7 linked regions of the Kluyveromyces lactis genome follow. The protein of the gene in region 7 interacts with the protein of the main gene of each other region in a pairwise test. Links are inferred from orthologs where the notes say so. Each region holds a gene or a part of one and is shown on either strand. Other genes may lie near its edges.

Region 1 (4,220 bases), on a different chromosome or scaffold from region 7:
GGATTCTTTTCATTTTGCTTCAAGAATCATGTACTTGCTTCTGCAACTGTTCTATCAGTAGATCTTTGGACTGCAGTTGCGTCTTCAGCTCATTTATTTGAAGGGCGAGTTCGTTAGGAGATGGCTTTATACCATGTTGGTATAATAAATTCTGTTCTTCTGCAATGAAACGTTTGAGCCTTTCTTCGTTCAAATTTTGAATCAACTCAACAATCTTTGACGATTTTTTCCTTAATTCCGTTTCGAAATCCAGTAGAGAAAGAGCCTGAGGTGACTCTGGTTCCTTCGGATTCTTTGATTCTAATTCACTTTCTAATCTACCTTCCCTTGCGATAGACTCGGCTAATTCCGTGGAAACCAATTGTAGCTCTTGCATCAACATCATATTTTGTTTCAAAATATTCAAATACTCTTCAGTGATCAACAGGGGTTGTTTGGGATCCTTTTCAGAAGCAAAAGATGGCTTATATGGCAACGCGGAAATAGGTTCAGCCTTCTGTTTTACATATTCTTTCTCAAGACAAGGCACTTCCTGTATCTCTGTGCTTTCACCAATAATCATCGACTTACGAATTTGCAAAGTTGATCTGTCAAATGTCTTTTCCTTATTACTATATTGGTCGTGGTGATTACCAGCAGATGACGCGGAAAAAAGAGAATGATATGATATTCTACGTTTATCGCTGGATGCACCCGATTTCGCCCTGAAAGTATCATTTAACTGGATTTCGGATCCTTCATCTACTGCCATCGAACTCCTGCTGCTTCTAGCGGACGAAGGTACAGTAGTGAGCGGTCTTTGATCGCCACTCTTCGTCCTTTTGATCTTCATCAAAAAGTTCTTCGCTTTCTGGAAACTGCTGCCTGATTTCTTCAAGCCTTTTTCACCAGAACATGCGATATAGGAATCATGTTTTGATTGTAGTACTTCGTTAGTATTACTATTCCCACTGTCGACCGCCGCATGGGCTTTTGATACAATTGATTCAGTTCTATTGACGTTGTCGCCAAAGTTTCGACTGGAAGAGTTGTCCGAGATTTCAGGATTTAATATTGGTGATAGATCCACGGGAATATTTTGTATCAAGGCGGTGGATGGCCTGAGATTTATGTCATCATTCAAAGAATCTTGCTGGTTGCTTTTCGTTTCCGAGGAATCCACTAGGTCGTATTCCTTTTCCGTTTTTTCCTCCTCGATCTGCAACACTTGTCTTGCGGGTTCACTTAACGTTAATATATTCAATTTCACCAATGAATCAGAATCATATTGCTCATCGCTATGTGAATGATCCTTATTCCCGCTGTAGGTTTGTTGATCTTCTTCTTCCTCGTTAAAGCTAGGAAGAGCCTTGTCTTTTTCAAAGTCCTCATTATCATTCGACAAAGTGGCATGTAGTTGGTATTTCACCGGTGATCTTGGCAGTGATGGTATCTGATTTTGTTCATCGAATGATGCGTTCGAGGGAGTTGTCGGAGAACTTTGTTCAGAAACCCTACCAGAAATGACGCTATTCACACTGGCATATGAAGAGGATGAGCCCGATGCCGCCTTATTCACCAGCTGCTGTGGTTGTGGCGGAGGGGCTAATGAGCTTGTTGCTTGTCTTTCATTGAATACATTATCCTGCGATACATTTTGTTTTGGTTGATAAAATGGTTGCGGATACGATTGAGTTTGCAGGGACATGGCTCTTGGACCAGAGTTTGGACCATATTGGGAGCTACCAGTAACAGGTGGACCTCTTGCCGGCACTGGTCCATTAACTTGACCAGGAAAACCCATGTTACGGGATCCTGTTGGTGACGCGGCATACGGACCTTGATAACCGTTTCTAAACTGTGAATTTCCGTTCATTTGAGTTGGTGGACGTCTGTCAGCAGTTAACGACATTGTGCGTGGGTCATTTGGAGGACCTTGTTGGGGAGGATACCCTGGTCTACCAGCCATCGGCGAAGCCCCCCCTCCCATCAAAGAGTTGAATCTGCTACCGTTTGGAGGCCTAGGGATTCTTGATTGCTGAGGGCCTGCTGGACCCATCATTGTTCCCGGGCCAGAAACACCAGGCCTTACCATAGGACGTTGATGATAATTTTGCAAGGACATTGTTCTAGGACCACCTGGAACTGAGGCACTGAACTGCGCTTGCTGCTGCTGCTGCTTCGCAAGACTGTTAAATGCCATTTTCTTTTGATTCATCATAAGTTTTCTATATTCTATATTGTTCATTGAGTTTGTGTTTCCGGAAGTCACGATGGTCGGTATTATTGGAGAGGTATCATCTAGATGTCCACCGTAACCGTATGCGTGCCCACCATTGTTTCTCATGGAAGAAATATCATTGAATGTAAGGAAAGAGGAATCATGATCCGAAAAGTCTGTATTATCGTCATCCTCATTAGCTTTTTCGTCATATTGACTGTGTCTCTTTTGATTGAGTTTCTTGTATTTACCCTTGAAGAAATTAGAGAAGGAAGCAGTAGAAGAACTCATGGATGATTTCCTACTACTGTCTCCTGGGTAATCAAAATGTGGTCTTGGTTGCATCTGCAGAGATTGTTGTCGAGGCTGTTGCATGTAATTATATGACGAAGGGTTGTAATTGGACTCGTACTGCTGGGCTTGTAACGGAACTACAGGTGGGGCCATGGGGCCTGTATTTCCCTTCTGCTTGTTTATCTGCTGCTCCTTAGTAATATCAATATTCCCTATATCGCTGTGAAGTAACTGGTTCCGCAGCTGGGCCTTGGAAGACATGCCCGCTCCACGTCGTTGATCAAGCGCAGTAACACCGGCATCCATATTCCACGATCAGAAAAGGTTAGAAATAAAGCACAACCTACAAGAAACGAAAAGATGGCTAGTTGTAAAATGAGCTGCACTTACGTATAGAAAAGTTCCTTTAACAATGACAAACAAACAATCTAAGGACTTACCTCTAAGTTGTTATCAAAAGTCCTGATGTACCAAAGAAGCGTTCCAAAATCGGTAGGGAATAAGTCAATTACACTCGTACTGTGGATTGGTTCCTCTGGATTATAAATTCTGCCAGAACCTAGGCTAAATGACTGTACTAGAAAGAGAATAGATAAAAGGAAATACAACCTATTAATAGTGACTAAGTCCAAAACTCAAACTGATTCCTAAATTGTTTGAACAGACCTAAGATTCATTTACTTTCCGTTCATATTTTTTTTTTTTTCTCAAAACGAAATCTGAATGCCATAGAAGTTCCGAGCGAACATGAAATGTATGGATTATGCATGAAACAATAACGAAGAGTGAAAAAGGAAACGGAAGGCAGCTATTTAGGATGTGCCTTTACACAACGTTGTATATAATAGATCGTAGTAATCTGACGAAATAATGGCTTCTGCAACCTTTGTATTTGAATTAAATTTTATATGGTTCCCAAATGTTACAAGTCTATGCAGTGGTTATTGCGTTTAAAAATGATTTTACTTACTGTCCAATGTAGTCTAATCAGAAAGTTGCTCAGGTGAGAGAATGGTTTATCACCAGCTTAAGCTCTTCTTGATTTTGTTTTCCTTTTTTTAGGTGTAGATGATGGTTTAGGATCAGGTTTCGCAACACCCTCTAGATTTATCTCTTCAGAGGGCTTGGAAGGCTCAGTCTTATCAGTCTTTTTAGATTCAGCTGTTTGTAGATCTTCGTTGGTAACAAGCTTTGTGTTTTGTAATTCGTAGATGAACCACGTCACGGTGATCCATAGTAGAGTGGCGATAATCGTTAATGCGATGAAATGGATATTTTTGGTTAAATAGATCTGCGATCCCAACACGCAAAGCAATAGTGCAAACGAGATATGAGTAGCAATGATCAATTGAGGCGATGTTCCTGGTTGGAAAATGCTTTCCCACAGTGCAACAACAAAGTTAGTCATTCTTGAGTGTCTCAGGTGAATTTCGTTTTTTATAGTGGTTGGCAACGGAGGATTATAATATGCTGTACTAGAAATCGATGATGAGCCTGGAGTAGAAATCAGCAAGGTATAGCCAGAATGCAAGTGAACAAGCTTGTAAGTATGAAATGACGACTTCCTATTCTGATCGAGCCGGGTGTATTATGTTATGTCACTGGCAAACGTATGTATATGTATAGAAGAATTTTACTTTTAAAACTTTAATATAGAGATTTTAAGATACAGATTATGTATGTCAAACTTATAATTTACAGACCGATAACAGAGGAATAATGAAGT
Region 2 (2,275 bases), on a different chromosome or scaffold from region 7:
ATTTATATAAACTATTGAGCTAAAAGTCAATTAGAAGCCTGAGAGGTTAAATATATCATGAGATAATGAAATCCACACACGAAGAGTAATTTCGTTGAGGTTTTATACTTAAACAAAGCGATACTCCATAGTGTTTAGTTTTTCGCTTCGAACCAGTTTCGTATTTTAGACGGTTTAGAATTCAAACAAAGAACCAAACGTTTGGTACTTCAGTTTGTCTATAGAAATGTCAAAGAGTTATGAAGTAGTTTTGGTAGTTTTAGGATGTTGGTTTAGTGAAATGTAACGCTTTTTCTGGAGATGGGGGGTAGAGCTTTTTTTCTCTTTTGAACCTGCAAAAACTTGGAAACACACTCTCTATCTCACAATCATCTATAAATATAAAACTGGACTTGATGGTGAACGGGAAGATTGTTAAGAACGCTCATCCTTGAGTGAGAAACTTCTTACCTGATACATGTACTGGTAATAAAAAAAAAAAATACAAGGCCGATCACTTTTCACAATATAATACATTTTTTACTCTTTTTAATGACTGGAGGTTCCAGAGCAGCAACAATAGCTTCGTCGAAAACGTTTTTCAAACCACGCTGGGTAAGAGCCGAACATTCAACATATTTTACGGCTCTAAGCTCTCTGGCTAACCTTTCACCTTGCTCTGGAGTGATAGGACGAAGCCTTTGTCTCTGTAGTTTTTCAATAATCACTTTATCATCTCTTAAATCTATCTGAGTACCCACAATCAAACATGGAACACCAGGACAATGATGATGTACTTCTGGGAACCATTTTTCTTTTACGTTCTCAAAAGAAGGAGGAGATATAACACTGAAACAAACCAAGAACACGTCTGTTGATGGGTATGATAACGGTCTTAATCTATCATAATCTTCTTGACCAGCTGTATCGAAAAGACCTAGCGTGTATGGCTCATCGCCAATCATCACCGTAACAGCATAATTGTCGAAAACGGTTGGAACGTAGTCGGCTGGAAACTGGTTAGTTGTGTATGAAATTAGAAGACACGTCTTACCGACAGCACCATCACCTATAACAACACACTTAAGAGTTTGCATGTTTTAAATTCCTTTCTTCCTTGCTTTTATACTACTATCACTGCAGGCCTTTACGGTGTTACTTCCGGCTGACTGTGCTATGTCTAACATCCAATTTGTCTGACTACTCTCCTTCATCACATACATATCTTCGTCCTCCTGTTCTGTTATTTCAATTTTGAAATGGGAATATGTTAATAGATAAGGAAGTTAGGGTAACGTTGTAACGTGACTTGAATTATTTTCAGTCAAACTCTCCCATATAGAATACAGGAAGACCGCATAGGCGGTTGGCAGTCCGGTAGTGAGGACACTAGCCTTGAAATGCGTACGTATATTTGTCTATAGATTACTTTGCATATGGTTATCTCACGTTTACTCGAAATGCTACATGCTACATTATATTGATTGATATTGACCAATCTTGAACTTCGGAGGAACCATGAAAATTCAAAGGGCATTTATGACGTTATTGACTTATTCGTCTTCGTCACTGTCTTCTTCATCAGATGATTCTTCATCTGCAGTCTTTAGCCAGTCCACCCATTTGGCCAGTAGAGCAGTAACTTCGCTGTATTTTGAATCACCGCTTACAGAGTCCCACCATTTGTAAATGACATCTTCCTCTAAGATATCCAAATCATACAAGACATTATATACATGGAATAGAATGAAATCTGGTTTATCGAATTTCTGATCTAGCACACGATCCAGAATGATATTCATTAGATCAATGAACTCATCACTATCAAATGCTTGTCTCTTAAACACAGGACCCCATTGTTGTAAGACTTTAGTGACAGCGTCCTTTGGACCTAGTGTTTGTGTGGCTACAAAGTGGTAAACTCTTCTGAATATAGCGATAACAGAAGCATTCCTGACTTCATGATAAGTGACGTTCATACTCATTCTCAAAGTGTTTAGTTCAAGCATTGATGTGTCTAAATCGTGGTTGTTCTCTATAGCTCTTTCAACTGTTGCGATGGCTTCTTTTTCGAAATCTTCTTCTTCGTCTTCTTCTCCTTCGTAATCAGTATAGATACTAGTCATCGACATGGTTCTCCTCTTTCTATGTTTTTGAGTGATGGATGATATGGAAGTATCCGATAAATAAATGTCATCGTCTCTGTACGTTAATGTGTTCGCAATACCCTTTTCGGTCGATCCATCTTCATCTTCATCCTCATCATCACTTTCGTATAGTACGCCTCTCCCGTTTG
Region 3 (4,207 bases), on a different chromosome or scaffold from region 7:
GATGATGACGAAAAATGCCATTTAAGAGTCCCTGAGCAAGATATGGAAAAACATACTAGTATTGCGTATCCAAAATGGAAGGGAATCGAATCAAGATTTTGTCCAGCTGGTGTTTATGAGTATGTTGAAGACGAAACCTCCCCATTGGGTGTGAAATTCCAGATTAACTCACAAAATTGTATTCATTGTAAAACCTGTGACATCAAGGTTCCAACTCAGGACATTAATTGGGAAGTTCCTGAGGGAGGTGATGGTCCAAAGTACACACTTACCTGAGTTTGTTAAATTAGTCAGAGTAAAATTTGGCCTGAAATATTTATTTATCTAATATAATTTATTTATTCATATCTGTAAAATATGATTTTCATTAATAACTGAACTTATATTAAATCAACCAAGTGAACCTGTCAAACTGGAATTGTCTTCATTTACCTTTGAAAAACGCCAAAAAGTGAAATCTATGTATAATACAATCAAAGGTAAAATATTATTAATATGTCTCAGTTTGTATAAGCCCAAACGTTCAATAGTCTTTCATTACTCTCTTTCAGCATATCTTTTACAACATACCAATCATCATCACTTTCCAACATCACAAAATCACCATCTTCATCCTGGTATTTTACCTTCGTGATTACTCCTAAATGTGCCAATTTCCTTTTAATCGCAAGCAACAGATCTTCCGCAGAACAGTCTAAGGATACTAAGACTGTGTAAAAATCGTTGTTGAATGAGACCCTCAGTAGAAGCATAGTGTCAGGGATTGAATTTTTGTAACTTTCGGATATAGATCTGTATTCGCTTGCAAATGACTGACGGGCATTGGACATATGGCTTTTGGGAAGGACTTCTGAGATTTGTCTGGTCAGAGTGCTACCAATGGAGGCAACACTGTTGTGAGAATATTGGACTGGTGAGGAGAATGACGACATATCGCTATTCGTATTGACACTTTTATAGGACTCGCTGCGAATTTGACGAAGAAGCTGATGAAGGCAGCTTTCCCAGTTGTTGCGGGTTTCTTCATTTTTGAATTTTAGTATGAAGTTCCCCTTTTCCTTGGCTGATTCCCAAATAATGTTCAGGGAATAGTTATCAATCGGAGCGACTTGAGTCAGGTTAACTATCATAATTCGACCTCTTAAATCCAGTTTCCCAGTGTTCTTCGTGAAATCATTCATGTTAGTGTTCGAAGAGTTTGAAAGATGAAGAACAGATGATGAATTCGATTTCTTTTTTAAACTTATTGAGCTTCCTTTCTTCTGGCTTACCTCACTGAATAATAGTATGATTTTTTCGAATAGATACACTTCAAAATCTTTTTCTGGCTCATTGGAATTGCTCGTTGATATTGATATTCTATCAAAGTACAATAACTCACCAAACTTAGCGATGCGGTAACCCTTCCAATTTACCACACGACCATAGAGACGTTTGACAACCTCGTAATTTTCTGTTCTCCTTTGATTTTCGTTAATATTCCTTGCAATGGATTTGGCAATACCCAAGGCAATCTCCAATTCTTTAGAATCACTTTCTGCGTGTTGTAAAAGATCTTTGAGAAGTAATGGGTATCTACACAATCTTTGGACTGGTTTGAGAAGGAATGATTGCAGTTCCATTTTATTACCGATGACAAAATTAGTGCTATTTGGGTTCATTTTGTTGAAACTAGACGAAATGAAATCAATCGCTGCATTTTGACCTATGGACCAAGGTTCATATAGCTTGAAGAAATATTTGGAATGCATGAATAAGGCCCCGATTCTTTGTTTTTGAGATGGAACTTGACCGTTGACTTCTAATGACACTAAAAACCGTCTTTGGAAATCGATTATGTCATTCAAATTGGGGAACAGCATGTACAGTTCTTCCGAGTTGATAATTTGGTTGTCTAAAAGTTGCTTCCTATACTTATTCAGAACTTCTAGATCATGCACGTACTTTCTCTCAGTCTCGATGAATTCTTTGACAATTTTATCATATTCTGTCTGTGGTTTCGCAAGACGTTGAGATTCCAACTGTGTGCTCATATCAATTTGTGGGAATACTTCAGGTGCAGCATTCAGCAACGTATTCACAACGTCCAAAACTTTCAAGAAATGATCTGTCGAATTTGAAAAAACGTCAGAAATGGTGAACAGTTCTTCGTCATTAAATGCAAAATGTTGTTTCAGACCAAGAATGAAGTCGTAGATAGATTTTTTACAAATCTTAATATCATCTGACGAGACCACCGTTAGCTTAGATTGAGGTCTTACGGCATTGAATATAATACAAAGTGGCGAACCCTGTTGAAATAGTTTAGAAAGTTGCGTTACAGGGTCACAATCGACAGATATAGGCGTAATACCAACAGAAAAAGTCAGTAAAGTGTCCTCCATATTAAAGGACTGAGAATGCTCAGAGTCCTCTCCAAAACTCGTAGCCGAGAAACTAGAGTCCCTATGAAGAGTACTTGAGGAGGAAAGTCTACCATTTGTACTTTGTGCACTACTACCTTCGTAATGCGAACCTCGCTGCCGATGTTGCTGCTGTGACTGCTGTTTCTGCGATAAAAGCAGGGCTTGGTGTTCTGCTAGAATCTCTGAACTCGAATGCGCTAAATTCAAATATGGTTGGAGCTGTGGCAGAAACTCTAATCTCTTCTTGATCATTAAACACATATGATATAATGACTCCTGTGCTGTCACCTTTTTGTTCATTAATAAATGTGTGCTATTTGAACGCACACTCGTCAGCGAAACATTGGATACTGATGGATTTACCGCCATTATGGCAGGCTGCAACTAAAACAGAATTATTCTCTGACACTCCTAGATAGTAAAAACCTTGTTTGTACAGCTCTGGAAGACTTACAACGATAAGAATTATTTTAACTTCACTTCGAAGACACTGGCTGTTTCGTTAATTTCAGTATTGTTTTATTCTATTCTTTTTTTTTTTTTCTTTCAAGAGTAATGTCAATACTGAGATCTCTGGGTCAAAACCTTTGGGGCCCGAAAACATTGTTGTGGATCAAATTCTGGAGGTTCTTTTTATATAGGAGATACTTCTCAGTGGTATTTAAGAGTATAACACCAATTAGCGGCACTTGCCAGGTGTCGTGTAATAATCCTACATATCTGGCATTGAATATTGATATACGCTAGAGTTTCGTTCTATAACTGGAAAATAAGAATTACAAGTGTCAAACTCACACATAACTTCTATATATGTACTTTTATAGAACAGTAGTACAATTTCTCTTTCTATCTATCTTTGCTTAAGAGCTCTTCTTACCCCAAATAGATTTTTGTGCTCTGTATGTGATTTTGTCAATGACAGTACCAACTGCCAAGACACCACCAATACTTGTGATACAATTCAAAAGGAAACCAGACCATGATGTTGCATGCTGTTCTTTATTTATGACTTTTAAAGGCGACATCTCAAAATTGAAGAAAACACCTGGGACACCTCCTTTAGAATGAACAGTGTTTGGATGGTCTTCGTCCCTGCCCCCTCTTAGAGGCCTATCGTGGTACGTGGCGCTGAATTGAGTAGTTTCAACTTTTTTACCATCTAAGAATTCGAATCTGGTAGGAATGATCTTGCAGAAGTATGAGAACTCATGGAAGTGTGTGTCGCGGTCTGGGAACACTTGGCGGCTGTCTAATGGTGAAATTGAAGCAGAACCGATCAATTCGCTGTCTCCATCCTTGGGTTTCTCTCCAAACGTCAAGGTGTTGATTATATGGTTGAAGTTCAAATGTGGGTATGCATCGTATAGCGAAGTGTCGTGGAAATGGCCACGGATATTACGCATTGAACTACCTGGACCGAAGTGGATGGTACCTTGTATTCTGTTTAATTGAGCACGTCCTTGAACACGACAACCTTCATGTATTCTGGCATTGATGCTCTCAACATATCCTTCACGTTCACATTGTTCCACACCTTTACCATCCTTGAATGCCCATCCTTTTTGTCCGTAGGCTGCACGCACATCGTCACAAGTTTGACAGCATACTTTTTGATCTTGTGGTAGCTCGTCATTCTTTGATTGGTCTAATGCACCATAACATGGTCCACAGTATCCTTCTTCGTTGAAGCTTTGCTTTGATGATTTGTCACCAACTTGGAACTTCTCCTTAGAGAGTTCCTTCCCTTCTGGGCTAATTCTGATCTTCGTGAATCCCGAATCTAATAGGTTAATCTGAAATTC
Region 4 (3,473 bases), about 680 kb from region 7:
ACGATCTGTTTATTGAAAAACACTGGATTCAATAACCTGTTCATCGCCTCTTTATCCGGGTTCTTTTTCTGTTTGATCTCTTCTATCACCTCAGAAATGGTATTATGTTCTTCAATAGCATCTGCGGTGCTGCTGACATGCTTCTGCCCCAGTTTACAGCTCTGTGAAAGTAGTCTTCTTGTGGCTCTTGTTGTTACATTATGGAGATGAGCTTTAAATAAAAGAGATGAGTTCATTCTGGCAGCATTCAACATATCGTAAACCACCTCTGTCCTTAGATTGGCTCCTTATACAAGCTTAAACGACTGGTATCAACACTGTGAGAGACAATAGATTGAACCGTAGGCATCTTTTGCAACGTCTTTTATTAATCAAAGCCAGTGTTTCCTTCTTTGATTTAAGAATTTTTCTTTCAATACTTATTACATTTGGTATATATTGATTCTTTACTGATAACGTTAATACAAAACTGAGAAGAGAAAAAGCACAAAAAATTCGTATCAAAACCCATCAAGGGCTTTAGTAGCTCTTTCAAGTCTTCTTAAACCTTCTTGGTACTTTTCTGGATCCAGAACCATATCTGCAGTCAATCTAGAGAGAGAATCGACCAATCTTTCAAGAGCTCTTTTCTCTTCGATCTTCATACCAAGGTTAGAGAATTCTGACCCTATCAGGGTTCCCTTTGTAACATTCAATAGTTGTGAGATAGTATCTATATCGAAGGATCTTAGTTCTTTGTTGTGTTTGGATCCGATTTTTTTGGTTTGATTGTGGCTTTGGTTTTGGCCTTGACGTTGGTGAGATTTGGATCTGGTCTTCGAATGGCCTTTCTTGGGAGCCTTTGGCAGCTTACTTTGTGGAGTCCTTACTGATGAGGCAGCTTTAGTGGAATCAGCACCTTTCTCTACTATGTCCTCGTAATCATCATCATCTTCTGGATCTTTTACATTGCACACTGCCTGGTCATTCGGTTGTTGTGTGATTTGGTTCTCTGGGGTCTCCAATCTTGACGATGATGAGCTTGGAATAGAAGGTAGTGGCCTAGTAGTGTATCCATCCTCCTGTGGTCCCATGGTATCATCTTGCTCAGTAGCAGAGAAGAAACTTTCAGATCTCACACTGCTTTGTCTTGAATGTCTCTCACTCCGGCTTGCACTGGCACTGTGACCTTTCCCCATCTCCTTTGCAAGTTGATTCTGAATATCATCTAAACTTTCCTTGATAAATATATGTGACTTGGGCCTTCTTGCGCTTCTTGGTGGTACTGTTGGATGTAAGTCTGATATGATTTCAAGTTCTGGTTCAGCACCAGCGGTCTTCTTACTGTTAACTTGAGTTTCTAGTGGTGGTAATATACTCGAAGCAATTGATTTGATTTCGGATACCTGAGATATATCTTGCTGGCTTGGAGCCTGTGATATGTTTAGTGGTGTAGTGTCCGAAATTGCTTCTGTGACATTGACCTTGGGGATGTTATTATAATCAGAAACTGGAGTTTGTTGTTGCTCATCGTACGATTCCTCTTTAATTGTCGTCGTTTCAAGTTGAGATAGATGTTGACAGTCACCACTGTTACCAGTAGCACCATATTGCGAGGTATGGTCCAAATTTACCATGCTGGATCCCGAATTACTTGTGGCAGATGCGTTATAGGAATGTCCACTTTCGCTTGCTAGATTACCTGATGCGATTGATGAAGGGACCTTCTGATGGGACATCTCCATAGATACAAGTTTTAATGAGTTGTTTTTCTCTAAAGTAGGAGTCGTATCTGTTTCAGCTGGTTGCCCAATCTGTTCTTTCTTTAACGAAACCTGAGGTTCTTCCGTATCAATAGAGTTTCCTACTGGTTTTGTTGTTAATTCAGACAATGCATCTGCTGATGCAGCTGACCATTCGCTCTTAGTAGGGAAGGGCGGTAAAGCTGGCTCTTCAAAATTCTCCTTCTTCACAGCGGTAGTACTGTTATTTTTGACTATATAGGAGACTGGAACACCTTCATGGACAGTGCCTGAATAAGCCGATATTATGCTTTCTCTGTTTCCTGGCGATTGACCGTTTAATTGTAAACGATTCCCATCTGGAGAAGGCTGAGGGGACCCATACGTATTGAAGAATGCCACATTTTGATCGTTAGATGTATATGACAATTGTGGAGATGCCCTTTCAGCAGAATCTATTCCCTTGCTTGGCATATATATTTCATCATCCAAACTCTCATGTAAGCTGTAATTCTCGATCATAGCAGAAAGTCTGTTGTAATTAGGGTTGTTGCTAGCGCTTGGTGGCCTAACTGCACTCTCCAATGGCTCTTTACTCATTGTATTTGTCCAAGATAGTGCTTCTGGTTGTAGTATTTCCCTTCTTTCCAGATCAACTGTTATTGATACCTGGGATAGTATCCTCTAAAATAGACTTGTTTCCAAAGAATTCCCTCAACAACAAGCAATTTCAAAAATAAATGTATCTACCTCAATAAGTAGATGGTTGTTAGTTGCTACAATTACTATACTGGGTTGACAAACCTCTAACCTGCGTTTAGATCAAAGATTCTTACAGTCAGTAAGGTGTTGATGTTTTGATTTCACTGTTGATCTGAATTCCAGATCAGGAAAGATAGTAAACACTTAGTATTTGAAGGTCAGGTGACAAGAATTGAAGAAAATGGAAGTAGACAATAAATAGGTGTTTACATTAGTACCGCACCTTGATGCGCGTGTGTATACAATGATATAAATGCATACGTATTAAATAGTGTTTCGAACTTAGTTCATAATGTACATTAGTTGCTCTTAGGGCCAATTCGTTTCAATTCATCTTGGAACTTTCTGTAAACATTAAAATCGAACTTGGCAAAGTTGTAATCGAGGTCTATGAAAACTTTTGATATTTGACAGCTCTTGTAGTAGTAATTGAGGAAATTACTGGAGTATGGGTCCACTGATGGACCATAGAATTCTATCGGAACTGGTTCATGGCTGTAATGATTATTTTTGAAATTTTTGTAGAAGGTTGTGAACAAACCAGTGACGATGGGTGTATCATCCTCTACGTCGGAATGCTTTTTGGGTCCGCCAAAAGAGCTTGAGTTATTGTTGCTGTCGTTGTTACTGTTTGTTTCATGGTTCTTGAAATGCGATGGGAATAACCCTTGGAACATTTCAAATGCTGCCAAGGTGAAACCGAACTGTGGGGAACTTCTCAACACACGAGCCGGTCCACCTTTGAAAAATGATTTGATGCTTTCCTCTTTCAAGATCGTTCTTGCTGCATGGATTACACCTGTATACGTTGTTTCTCCCTTCCTGGGATCGATTTGTAATCTGGTCTTAATCACATCAAAAGGAGTGGTCAAATAAGCTGCTGGCATACCTGCGATCCCACCAGCCAAGAGGAGTTCCCAGGTTTTGAGTTTGTTTCTCTTGTTTTTATCATTTGGATCAAAATTAAATACATCCTTCTTTAAATGAGCA
Region 5 (3,788 bases), on a different chromosome or scaffold from region 7:
CAACAAATGTACCTTTTTGTGCACTGCAGTTAAATCTAAGAACCCTAGAAGTTTGGAAAGACCGCTCATCGTATAATGTCCTAGGAACAGTTTTGGGATCATCTAAGCAACTGTATAATAAATTACTCTGGATCTTTGAGATGAGACTATCTTATAATATGCTGGACGAGCGCTTAAATTCTTGGGAAACGGCTGCAAGGTTCCTGAGAGAAGTTGCGTTAAATGTAATTCAATCGTTCATTGTCCTTTTTAATAGGAAGAAAAGCAGCAGAAGATCTTTCAAACAATTTGTTTTCAACATTTTTCAGCGAATTGATCTTAACCTCTCTTCAGCTAATATGTTCTCGATGGAAAAGTCCGTCGCGTCAAAAGAACTGGTGTTGTCAGTTTTCCTTGAACAATTAAAATTAAGGAAGAACGCATTTGCAGACATTTTGACAAATGTCAGCGATTTGAAACTATTAATAGAGTTTTAATGCTATTACTTAAAATTATTGTACCTATATCAGACCAAAATTAACACGCAGATTTTCTTCGTCTTTTTGTTTTCTTAGGCGTTCTATCTCCTCAATGCCACCGGCCTTTTTGAAGTTACCTTTCTCAACGAAATTGCCCAACTCATCTTCAAAGGCTTCATTTTCCTTGTACTCTTTCTCTCTGTTTCTTAGTTTTTCTGCCTTTTTAATGGCTTCCACTCTACTGTCATGATCTGGGTTGAGATTCTGAACTTCAGTCAAGACTTGATCGCGGATCATATTATATGTGCCTGGCTTGGCTATCGGAAGAATGGGGTTTCCCTTATTCTTCTTTGGGGCCTTTTCCTGTTGTTCGCAGCACAATTTAACCAAATCAAATGTCTCCATAACCTTATTCAAGTCTTCTTGTAAATCAAATACGAGATCTTCTTGCAATGTCATGAACTGTTGCTCTTCACACACCCTATCTAATTCCGCTTCCCAAATAGTTTTCCAATTTGGCTTTTCGACATCTATATAATTTCTCATTTGATCCAAATCCTTCTTAGCGGAGTCTAATTCAGACGATACATTTTCAATCTTCTTCTTGGGTGTTCTCGCACCTCTAATGGCCACATCTTTACGTAATGCCTCAATGACATCTTGAAGATCGTCAACTTTACTCAAAAGATTATCAGAAACTTCGGATAACTTCGACTGGGACTTTTCCATATAATCGCGATTAGCTGACTTTCCTGTAGTTATTGAAAGGCTCTGGAATTTCTGTAGTTTTTCCACGATAGCGTTTATAGTATTTTGAAGCGATCTCTTTTGGTCGCTATGTATCTGTTTTAAAACGGTAATTTCGTGCCTAATATGAGCAACTTCTTTACGATGATCCTCATGTATAACTGTTGCAGAATCTGAGGATTTTGGACCACTTGAATAATCTGGTGACGATACGTGAGTACTATTTTGGATAATCTCTTTCAAATTTTGAAAAATTGTATCTTGCTTTTCTAATAAACCATCTTGAAGTTGGCGGAACTGTTCATCTAGAGACGATGATTGTACCTGTAATTGGAATACGCTCCCATCTATTATACCATGTAGGTGACTCTCTTCAAGTTCGTAAAATGCCTCGTATTTGGGTTCCTTCACATATATGTCAGGGAATACATCACCTCCTGGGGAATATGCAAATTTCTCAACAAATAAAAGTCTAAGCTTGTTGAAAGAGAGGTGAGAACTAGTTACACATCGTTTCACCTTCTCACCGATCTTCAAAAAGACAACAATTTCATCTATGCTTGAGTTATCACCTTTTGGTTCTGGTGCTCCTGTCATGGGATGATAATCTACGGATGAAGCAGAAGAGATTCGAGAAGGCTGTCTTTCCATTTTAATGCTTTCTGTATCAGAAACATTGGCCGCTGCTGCCGCTGCAGCAGCGGCTGGAACTGCTAAATTTTTAGACGTTGGGGAATTCGATGGATCTGAAGCTGTTTGGTTGGCTAATTTCGCCATATGATACGCTGAAAACCTCTTCGAGGCTCTTCTTTGCAGATTATTTCCCTTTTTCAATTGAGTTAACGCATCGCTTTCAGAACCCTTGGGAACTTCTAACGTAGGTATCTGTTTTGTTTCAATATGAGCTGAAGTAGATGTCGGTCCCGCGCCAGCCAAAGATGTCGTTGCGCTGACTACGGATGAAACGGAAGATCTTTGAGGAGTATGCTGATATTTCAAAGCATCTTCATTCCTGCTCAGTTTTATCATCGCCTGTTTAACCTTAAGTTTCTCCAAGAGTTTAACTATAATATCTCTGATCTGCGGTAGGTATTTATTCAACGTTTCCTCAGATGCAGTCTCTCTCAATGCCACCTCCAATATTCTTCGAAGGTCTTTTGGCACATCGCCAAGATCCGAAATATCAATTCTAGCATGGGTAAAATGTCTACTGACTAACTTGAAATCATTACCCAATTGAACATACACATCGGAAACATTACGCTCGGTAACTTTGCCCTTGGACCATTGCGTCAGAATTTGTAATAGTTGTTTAGTTGAAATCAATAGTTTCGTCACACTAGTTTCCACAGATGATGCTGATTTAGAAATTGGTGGTGGTGTTTCCATCTTTATCAGACACACCTTACGTACCTCACCCTACTGCTTCCACACACCTAACTACTAGCTAGGAAATCCAACGTACACTTTTTAAACGGTATGTTTCTTCAAAGCATTACTAGATCAAAAAGCTTTAGGTTTGATTTGGTTTGCATAAATCTTTTGTTGATAAATATCAAGAAACGTAATTTCCTGAAGTTAGGCCGAGATAATGAAACAGGAAAGTATGGAAACTTACCATTTCAGAAGCTAAGCAACCAACAGAGACGTGTTACCGCGTATGACATATAGCGTGGTTTCTGTGGGATGAATCAGGACTCTGTAGTCCCCAATTCGGAGGCTAGTGATGAAGAGATCGTAATACCTCTGCATTCGGAACCAAATGTATTTCCAATCTTCGATGACGAATACCAGGTACGCGTCATTCCGGGCAGTCTCGATAACGTAGCACAGACACCTCCTGATATTGGAGTTTACTCTAATAGTATAAGACGTGCATTGAGAAAGCGTAAAGCAATCCAGAAGATGCCGTATAGTTTGGATAGAATACGGCATCGGCAGTTATTGCAAGGGTACGATGTATCTAATTTCGAATCTCTAGCAGATCATATCAATCTGCCGAGTGGTTCCCGGCAAGATATTACTGTTAATACGGACAATGGGGGCGTGCTCAATTCGAGTCCTGTGAAGGGCGGCCTTTCACAGCAAGAACACTCGACTATTGCGTCAACAAGGCTTCGAAGGCATCACCATTTCCATATTTCAGATGATGATGATGATGATGAGGTATATGGTAATGCTGAACTAGACAGCGATGAAATTCGTGACGAGTGTCATTCGGAAAGTGACTCGAATCAGTTTGATAGATCCAGTTTATCCTATGATGATAACGTTGTTTTTAGAGGAAGGCAAGTCAATATCAGAACAGGATACAAAGGTGTATTACCCAAAATGGCGTGGAAGAAAGCACTTGATAACAATACAGTTGAAAGTAATAGACAAGGAAGAAATAAAAATAACCACTACGATGAAAATTCACGGAGTAAAGGTTTAGCCAAGAGAAAAATATCTCGTAGAACGTTTAATTCCAGAGACGACAACCTTGTAAACGAATTAATAGAATCGGATGCTGAAATTGAAGTTGGATTCCCGGAAACATATCTACGGCTACAGAATGAGCAAGATTCAATGGAAGACTCAAAA
Region 6 (3,420 bases), about 670 kb from region 7:
AATTTAACCCTCCTTACCTATTTGTTGTCCTGTTGTAAGAGCTGAAAAGGCGTTGATCGTCTGGGTTCTCCAATAACAGGCACACACGGATACATTTAACGCTGAGCGTTTTGCTTTTATAATTTTTTTTCCAAGGCAAGAAGGAACCTTTCATATCTTTGTGTCTCTCCCATTCCCATGATCTTTCTCGCTCGGTTCGCATTTATTAGACAAACTTACACCCTTGCTTTAGCTGAGGAGAACTGACAAATTACATGAACATCCAGATATGTAAATAGAAATACATATTCATAATATTTTACTTTACTTTAATATAAATTGTAATTTAGTTTCAAGGAACTTAAATAACGAATTAAGCACTTGAAGAGTATATTTAATCATTGAATTATTTATTAGCTGATAGTAAGTTAAATTTGAAGTGAATGCAATGCAATATAATTTCCACATGGGTAACAGGTTTCAATGAATTGCAGAAGGTGATTGAGGGAGGTGAACGGGTATCATAAGCCTTCGCATACAAATGTGGCATCGCTGCCTCTTCTAATGCCAGACAGAAGAGGGATTGTGGGTATATCGAATGAATGGGTTTTACCGTCAAACATGCTATCTAGTGCAGGCGTCATTGGAGAATGGGCTTCGTATTCCAGAGTATCCTCAGAATCTTCAAACGCAGAATTGCTACTATCCTTGGTTGTTTCATCTGAACTGGAGTAGACCATAGTAGCTGGAGGTTCTGATTTCGTTTCGGTCGACACGGATTCGAGTAGACGTAATGGGTTCCTTGGTGGAGGTAAAACCATTGGCATGTCAACAACCGAGTACGATCTTAGCTCTTGATCTTGCAAGGATATGAAATGAGAGTCTGCTAAGCCGACGAAATGACTCCCTAGATGTTTCTTGTTTCCGATTCTTTCCAGATCTGGAGATTGAATAATGTTACCGTTTTGCACACAGTCCGCTGGTAATCCAAAGCTCTGGATACCATGAGATGGTCTGCAACACATTACTTGGTCGGTGAATTTCAAATCTTTGATATCCCAGGACATTATTAAGCCTTGATCGTCTGTACTATATATTTTCTTCATTTCATTATCGTAATCGAGACTGTTGACATGTCCGTTATGACCCAACAGGTGTGCTCTAACCTTCCCATATCTGATATCCCATATCTTCAATGCCTTTCCGACCGAATTAACGACCGTATATTCATCTAACCATTTGGAAGTATAACATTTGCCAGACTCGGCATTGCTGTCCTGAGGTCCAGGGACACGTATTCCGTTACCATCACCCAAACGAAGATCCAACAATGCAATTCCGGACTGCCCAAATTTCGTTCCTGTCAGAGAAAATGTGAATGGATTGACTGGGTTAACATCAACGTGTTCCAAACCGGGGAAACTGTTCAAGTATAATGGGTCTTTGCACTGTTGGTTCACGTCATAGACAAACAACGAATCGTTAATGACAGAGGTGAAATGATGCTTGTTCCAGGTCTTCAAATGACGAATTGGTTTTGAACGACTTGTGTTATAAATTTGCGTAGCAAGATCAACACTATCCATGCTATCGGTGATCACTTTCAAATGTTTGGAATGATTGAAACGTCTTAGAATTTTGGCGTTCCCATTCTCGATTGAAGTTGCAATTAAGTTCACATATCCATCAGAGTGTCCTGAAAGTAAGATTCTGTCATGGACTTTATCATCGAAGGAAACTACGGTGTCATTATTCTGCGATTGCATGATATCTGTAGCCAGAATAGATTTTCCTGGAACAGTAATGGTTTGTAAACTATGGAGCAATTTCCCACCGCGAGCCTGCTCATTAATTTCATTATTCCGCAATTGGAACAACTGTAAATTATCCGATGTCTGTGATGTGGAAAGTAGAATGGTGTCCCTATCCAATGACATTGAAGTGACGTCCCTAGTGTCTTCTGACAGTTTCCAACAATCTGTCTTCAATTTTTTCGTGACAATGACATCGTTCAAATCACCACTAACCTTCCTTAGCAAGGAACTGTTCAATTTCGAAGCCTCTATCTTGCAATTCCGCCTGACAATAGTACTGTTCTCGTCATCGCTAATATCTCTTCTACTCTTCTTGACGATGATGGCGTTCTGTCTGAATATCTCTGGAGCCCTGTAGAATTCAGTCATAATTTTCGCAATATACAGTTTCTTATTTGACTTTGTGTAATGTTTGCACTGCAGAGAATAATTGATTGTTAACAGGTACATCCATTAGAGGAGTAAGAGCTGGTCACTTTTAGAAACGACATGTTTATATATGATACAGGGCAAATAAAAATAGCACTAGCAAACACTGAGCCAATCAAAAATAGGACCAAACGCAGAACAAGCAACAAAAATTAGAGAAAGGCACGTTACCTATTGAGTGTGTTAGGCAGCCATATGAGCAAACATCCTGTTTATGTTTGCAAGAGGTTTGTTTACCTGTAAACAAACCCAGCATCTTTAAAGCTGGCAAAGGCTTGTTTATATTTATGTCATTTTGGACGATATGATTTTTGTCACGTGATGCCCATAATCGTCCCATATGCACGTCATCTGACAGCAATACGGCAGATTCTTGCAACCTGGTGGCTACCACCGCCATTAATGCCGTTTCCGAATTTACTGACATACTCGGCGTAGCCTGGTATCCCTCTTTAGTACTCTTTTTCCAGGTTTCAATCTCCTCACGTGACAAGTAAAGGAGAAAAGAAAATTGTGATTTGCATATTTTAATTAAGGAAACAAAACAAGAACAAAGATACTTTACTTGCAAACAACATCCGATTTAATCATCAGATCAAGGTGCTAGAGGATAAGCAAACGTGCATTGACAGTGGCAAAAAGGACGGTACGGAAAAGGGTATTGAGCAAGGTATTGATCTGATTTTTCTTTGCTTCTTTTTAGAGGAATCATCAACTTTTTTTCTGGTTCTGTTTCCTGTTCTGTTTCTTTGCAATTACGACAATTAAAGAAGACAAAAGACAAAAAATAAAACCTTATAGGCTTTCTCGGGCGGTTTTATTTGTTTAATAATTATTGCTGTTACTACCACTTATCAGATATCTAGTGTTTGAAGACTTTTCAATTTGTTATTGAGATTCCACTTTGAAGGAGAAATTATCGGATTTGAAATTGACAAACCATTAAAAAAATAAAAAGCTGCGAAATATGTCTATCTCTGTGAAACTAGTGGCTGCTGAGTCATTGAACAGGAGGGATGTGTTTAGATCTCCTGATCCGTTTGCAGTTTTGACTATCGATGGTTCTCAGACGAAATCCACAGCGGCTGCAAAGAAGACGTTGAATCCCTACTGGAATGAAGTATTTCAATTCAAAAATGTGAGTGAAAATTCGATCTTAACTGTTCAAGTGTTTGATCAGAAAAAGTTCAAGAAGAAA
Region 7 (4,134 bases):
CATTAGATAAATATACGTGGGACCTATGGATATATCACCATGGCAGTGATTTTCCTGTGGAGAACGTTCCTTTGAAGATTAATGTGATCAAGACTTTGAGCCAAACGCTTGATGATTATTCACGTCGAAGTGACTCTCAATTCGTGGAAGTTATTGCACGTACACTTCAGTATCTAAACAAGTTGGTACAGGCGTCATTACTGAGTGGTGTTCAGCCGCAAATGATGACACCCAGTCTTTCTATGGGCCCACCGCTGAGGAAACCCGGATATCAGGATAGAGAGACTGTTCATCGCTCTATATTGAACTCCAAACGCAGACCAAGTGCTAACGGAAGCGATTCAGCATCTATAATTAGTGCGAAAAGTTCGGGAAACAAGAGTATAGCTTCGACGAAGTCAAAGAGAAGCATTTTCCAAAAAATGAAAGGTATGTCACGTTGGTCTCAACACATTTCAAGCGAAAACAATCCAGACCATAAAGGCAGAGCATCAAGTTCAATTAGCCCCTTTAACCGACAATCGTCATCAATCCCAAATATGAATGGTTCTGTTAATTCCAGCTCATCTCGAGGTACCAATACCCCATCTAATAGAAAGAGTTCTTTTTCTACTAATTCATCTGATGCGACCTTTTTGAACAATAACAAGACACACTTCAGAAAGCAAGACTTATCAGGAATGCCCGAATACATCTCGTGGGTACAAAAACTTACATTTCAGGTCCTACAGCTGCCCCAAACCTCACAGAATGATATCATTTTCTCTTTCATCAACAAATGCATAATCCCATTCATATTAAATGACGGACATTTACTTCAAATACAAATTATACAGAAAAACGTTATCTCAGCTTTCCTCAGCGCTTGATATGGCGGTCATATAGTTGGACAATAAATGATAGTACTATGTATTTTAGACCCGTAATTAAGGATGAATCACCAACGGTAACATGAAGAACCAGTCGTTAGGTATCGGTCGCAAGTCCGGGTAACGAGCATTCGCTATTTGGGAACAGAATGGAAATTTGGAAGCAAGACGTGGACTTTTAAAGAAACAAACATTAGAAAGTAAGTTGCACTTCGTAAAAAACCAAAACATAAGAACCATCAAGGGTCGTAGTATAGTCTGGTCACCGAAAGTGCTCAAAATTGTGGTAAGAGGTTTGCTAACGTGGACGAATTATATATTGGTGCAAATAGAGCAGTTTCGTTTTGTTTTTTTTCCATTTTCCTCATAGTTTATACGTTTCATCTCAACAATTCGCTGGACTTCATTTAGAGCATCTCAGCCGTATCATACCGTTCGAGTTCCAGAAATACCTACAAAATCAGTATGGCATCTAATAAAGTACCTAAGCTAACCCATATAGATACCACTAATTTACGGAGTACCAGTGGAGGCGTGCCATCTGTTGGAGAAACACCCTTAGGTGCAGGGTTTCAGCCGCAGAAAACATTCCCGTTGTTTATTTGTATCACCGAGTACAGTAAGCGTATGGATGACGAACTAGATATGAGGCCTGGAGACAAGATTCAAGTGGTCACCGATGATGGGTCGTATAACGATGGTTGGTATTTTGGTAAGAATCTAAGAACACAAGAAGAAGGCCTGTATCCCAAAGTTTTCACTCAAGTCATTGCTATGGAACGCAAACCAGCCCTGATGAGGGCAAAAAGCTCCAAGAGAATCGCAAGTCCGTTTGCCTCTGGAAGCAATACAAATCTTTCATACCCGTCCCAGGATGGGTCCACCAGTGAGCTACCTACCCCTCAGCCGTTAGAAACTGCACAACCCGCAACTTATAGGAAATTTGATAATATCAAAGCGCCCAACTCAGACATGATAAAAGTTCCTGTGGATAGGAACATATCAATGAAAAGCACAATGAGTGATATAGATAAGGCACTTGAAGAGTTAAGGGGTGACTCTTTCCCCTCTGGAACTGATTCCATCGATTATGATCAAAGACCTGGGTTGAAAAGACTTGTTTCAGGTTCATCATTAGATTTCACCAAAAGTAATAGCCTGGCTTCTACTGGAACCAACGAATTACGCCCAGAAAATGTGAAGAATTGGGTTCCGGAACAGGTTACAGCTTACCTCATCTCATTGGGATTCGATGTGGAATCAGCATCGAGGTTCCAAAAGCATAAAATTTCAGGTACAATTCTTTTGGAACTAGAATTAGCGCATTTGAAGGAATTGGAGATAAACTCGTTTGGAACTCGTTTTGAGATCTTTAAAGAAATTGAGGCTTTGAAGGAAATATCGACCCAGAATGGCACTTCTGCCAATAACAGGAATAGTTTGATGCCCGCTGCATCATTCAAACAAAATGCTGGGATAACGATAACCTCACCTTCTAACCATGATATTCCAACGTATCGAGGCCACCTAAGGAAAACATCACAATCTATGGAGGAACTAAATTCAAATTCGACTCCAACTCCAAAGAACTTCGTAACCCCATCGTCTGGAACACACACCAAAAGCTCTCAGAAACCTAGACCAGCATCCTTGCTATTTACTAATGAAACTACTAAAGCTCCGGATATTTCAGAAGATGTGTTCGCGTCGCCTAGACGTGCCCCAAAGCCTCCTTCATACCCATCACCAGTCCAGCCTCCAAAATCACCTATGGTTAGTGCTTCTAGTTCTGGCTCTGGCGGTAGGTTCTTGTCACCTCAACCTAACGCAATGTCCAGTGCTCAAACTTCCAAATACGCACATCCCACGATATATGAACAAGTGGCAGATGGTAAAGCAAAGGCAAAGGAGGAAAAATCGAGGGAGGATGAGATTCACGACCAGTTCGAATTTCCTCCTAAAAGGAAGCAGGGTCCAACTTCTAGTACCCCTAGCCTTCCAAACCCATATTTCAAGGAAACACAATCTATCGAACGAAACCCAAGTCCAACTGAGCAAGTTTCAGAGAATCGCGGTAGTGTAGTCTACTCCGGACATGTCAAAACCAAATCAGGCGGATCCTTCGTCGAACTGTTTAACAGGATATCAATGCTGTCGGAAAATACAGAAAATAAACAGGCCGATCGTGAATCTGATGCAGAAACTGGTGTTAATATGGAAAGACCTTCTTCTAGTGTATACGGGCATTCCAGAGCTACCTCATACTCTACCAATCATGGTAGAAAACCTTCCCAAGCCAACTCAGAAAGAAGGCATAGAAGGAATTCTTCTCTGCTGTCATTTTTCAAAGAGAAGGATGAGCATGCCGAGACAGATACTGCACATACTAAAACATCAAGAAGGACGTCGGTTTCTCATAGCAGGAAGAATTCATTTGTTAGTCCCTTCAACACTATTGATAACGGTACGCCTAGTCAAAGACATTCGATGATGCTAAGTACATCTCCTATTAAAGACCTTCCAAACCCCCAAACTCGAAAAGAAGCTAAGAGACGCTCTGTTAGCGCTAAAGAACCTGCCTCGGATGTATTTTATGACGCGAAAGATACTTTATACGAACCGGATGTTAATCAAAATAGGTCTGTGAGTGAATCAACTAAACCGAGAACAGCTCGCGGTACGAGCTCGAAAAATGTCGGAAAACAAAGAACTACCGCATTCACGGAAGGTATCCGTAGTATTACTATATCCGAAGCTATGCGTGAAGCAGATTGTTCAGGTTGGATGAGTAAGAAGGGTACTGGTGCTATGGGTGTTTGGAAAAATAGATTCTTTACGTTGCATGGTACCAGATTGTCGTACTTTGCCAATACAACCGAAAATAGAGAACGTGGATTGATTGATATAACCGCTCATAGAGTGTTGCCAGCAAAAGAAGATGACAAATTTGTTTCTCTCTATGCTGCTAGCACTGGTAAAGGGCGTTATTGCTTTAAATTGGTTCCTCCTCAACCTGGCTCCAAGAAAGGTCTAACGTTTACTCAGCCTCGTGTACATTACTTCGCAGTAGACACCAAAGAGGAGATGAGAGCATGGATAGCAGCTCTTATCAAAGCTACCATTGACATTGACACTTCAGTTCCTATTATCAGTTCATGTGCGACGCCTACCGTTTCATTAACAAAAGCTCAGGAAATGCTGTCCCAAGCGCGTGAAGAAACTAGACTGAGAGAGCAGCAAAGGTCACTGAATGAACATGACGAAG

What was found.
Region 1: the proteins of KLLA0_E20879g (region 7) and KLLA0_F17545g interact in a two-hybrid assay, tested with the Saccharomyces cerevisiae proteins (4 studies listed by BioGRID, with this or other methods). The link is inferred for Kluyveromyces lactis from reciprocal best matches to the Saccharomyces cerevisiae genes BOI2 and EPO1.
Region 2: the proteins of KLLA0_E20879g (region 7) and CDC42 interact in a two-hybrid assay, tested with the Saccharomyces cerevisiae proteins (2 studies listed by BioGRID). The link is inferred for Kluyveromyces lactis from reciprocal best matches to the Saccharomyces cerevisiae genes BOI2 and CDC42.
Region 3: the proteins of KLLA0_E20879g (region 7) and CDC24 interact in a two-hybrid assay, tested with the Saccharomyces cerevisiae proteins (2 studies listed by BioGRID). The link is inferred for Kluyveromyces lactis from reciprocal best matches to the Saccharomyces cerevisiae genes BOI2 and CDC24.
Region 4: the proteins of KLLA0_E20879g (region 7) and NBA1 interact in a two-hybrid assay, tested with the Saccharomyces cerevisiae proteins (2 studies listed by BioGRID, with this or other methods). The link is inferred for Kluyveromyces lactis from reciprocal best matches to the Saccharomyces cerevisiae genes BOI2 and NBA1.
Region 5: the proteins of KLLA0_E20879g (region 7) and BUD6 interact in a protein complementation assay, tested with the Saccharomyces cerevisiae proteins (3 studies listed by BioGRID, with this or other methods). The link is inferred for Kluyveromyces lactis from reciprocal best matches to the Saccharomyces cerevisiae genes BOI2 and BUD6.
Region 6: the proteins of KLLA0_E20879g (region 7) and DSE1 interact in binary tests that used the Saccharomyces cerevisiae proteins (3 or more experiments, as listed by UniProt). The link is inferred for Kluyveromyces lactis from reciprocal best matches to the Saccharomyces cerevisiae genes BOI2 and DSE1.

Annotation. Positions count from the first base shown.
Region 1 is NC_006042.1:1,609,820-1,614,039, forward strand, and holds KLLA0_F17545g (uncharacterized protein), read right to left. Parts: upstream 2,801-4,220; coding exon 20-2,800; downstream 1-19. Other genes in the region: PKR1 (Pkr1p), read right to left, coding at 3,522-3,902.
Region 2 is NC_006037.1:381,743-384,017, forward strand, and holds CDC42 (Rho family GTPase CDC42), read right to left. Parts: upstream 1,077-2,275; coding exon 501-1,076; downstream 1-500. Other genes in the region: GCD6 (translation initiation factor eIF2B catalytic subunit epsilon), read right to left, coding at 1,533-2,275. UniProt on the Saccharomyces cerevisiae protein: Involved in development of cell polarity during the cell division cycle, and essential for bud emergence. Affects signaling in the pheromone-response pathway through the STE20 protein kinase.
Region 3 is NC_006039.1:1,097,198-1,101,404, reverse strand, and holds CDC24 (Rho family guanine nucleotide exchange factor CDC24), read right to left. Parts: upstream 2,775-4,207; coding exon 501-2,774; downstream 1-500. Other genes in the region: CIR2 (electron-transferring-flavoprotein dehydrogenase), read left to right, coding at 1-276; retrograde cargo receptor ERV46, read right to left, coding at 3,266-4,207. UniProt on the Saccharomyces cerevisiae protein: Promotes the exchange of CDC42-bound GDP by GTP. Controls the polarity of calmodulin, and the calcium regulatory process of bud emergence. CDC24 may be involved in the initial selection and organization of the budding site.
Region 4 is NC_006041.1:1,182,024-1,185,496, forward strand, and holds NBA1 (Nba1p), read right to left. Parts: upstream 2,322-3,473; coding exon 501-2,321; downstream 1-500. Other genes in the region: MTF2 (Mtf2p), read right to left, coding at 1-254; AGC1 (citrin), read right to left, coding at 2,783-3,473.
Region 5 is NC_006039.1:1,621,553-1,625,340, reverse strand, and holds BUD6 (formin-mediated actin nucleation enhancer), read right to left. Parts: upstream 2,595-3,788; coding exon 501-2,594; downstream 1-500. Other genes in the region: EST2 (telomerase reverse transcriptase), read left to right, coding at 1-476; MMS22 (Mms22p), read left to right, coding at 2,892-3,788.
Region 6 is NC_006041.1:1,194,944-1,198,363, forward strand, and holds DSE1 (Dse1p), read right to left. Parts: upstream 2,244-3,420; coding exon 501-2,243; downstream 1-500. Other genes in the region: RSP5 (NEDD4 family E3 ubiquitin-protein ligase), read left to right, coding at 3,190-3,420. UniProt on the Saccharomyces cerevisiae protein: Involved in cell wall metabolism and required for the separation of the mother and daughter cells.
Region 7 is NC_006041.1:1,863,142-1,867,275, reverse strand, and holds the start of KLLA0_E20879g (uncharacterized protein), read left to right. Parts: upstream 1-1,334; coding exon 1,335-4,134. Other genes in the region: KLLA0_E20901g (uncharacterized protein), read left to right, coding at 1-869. UniProt on the Saccharomyces cerevisiae protein: Protein involved in bud formation. Functions redundantly with BOI1 to promote the fusion of secretory vesicles with the plasma membrane at sites of polarized growth. Acts as an abscission inhibitor during cytokinesis in response to chromatin bridges.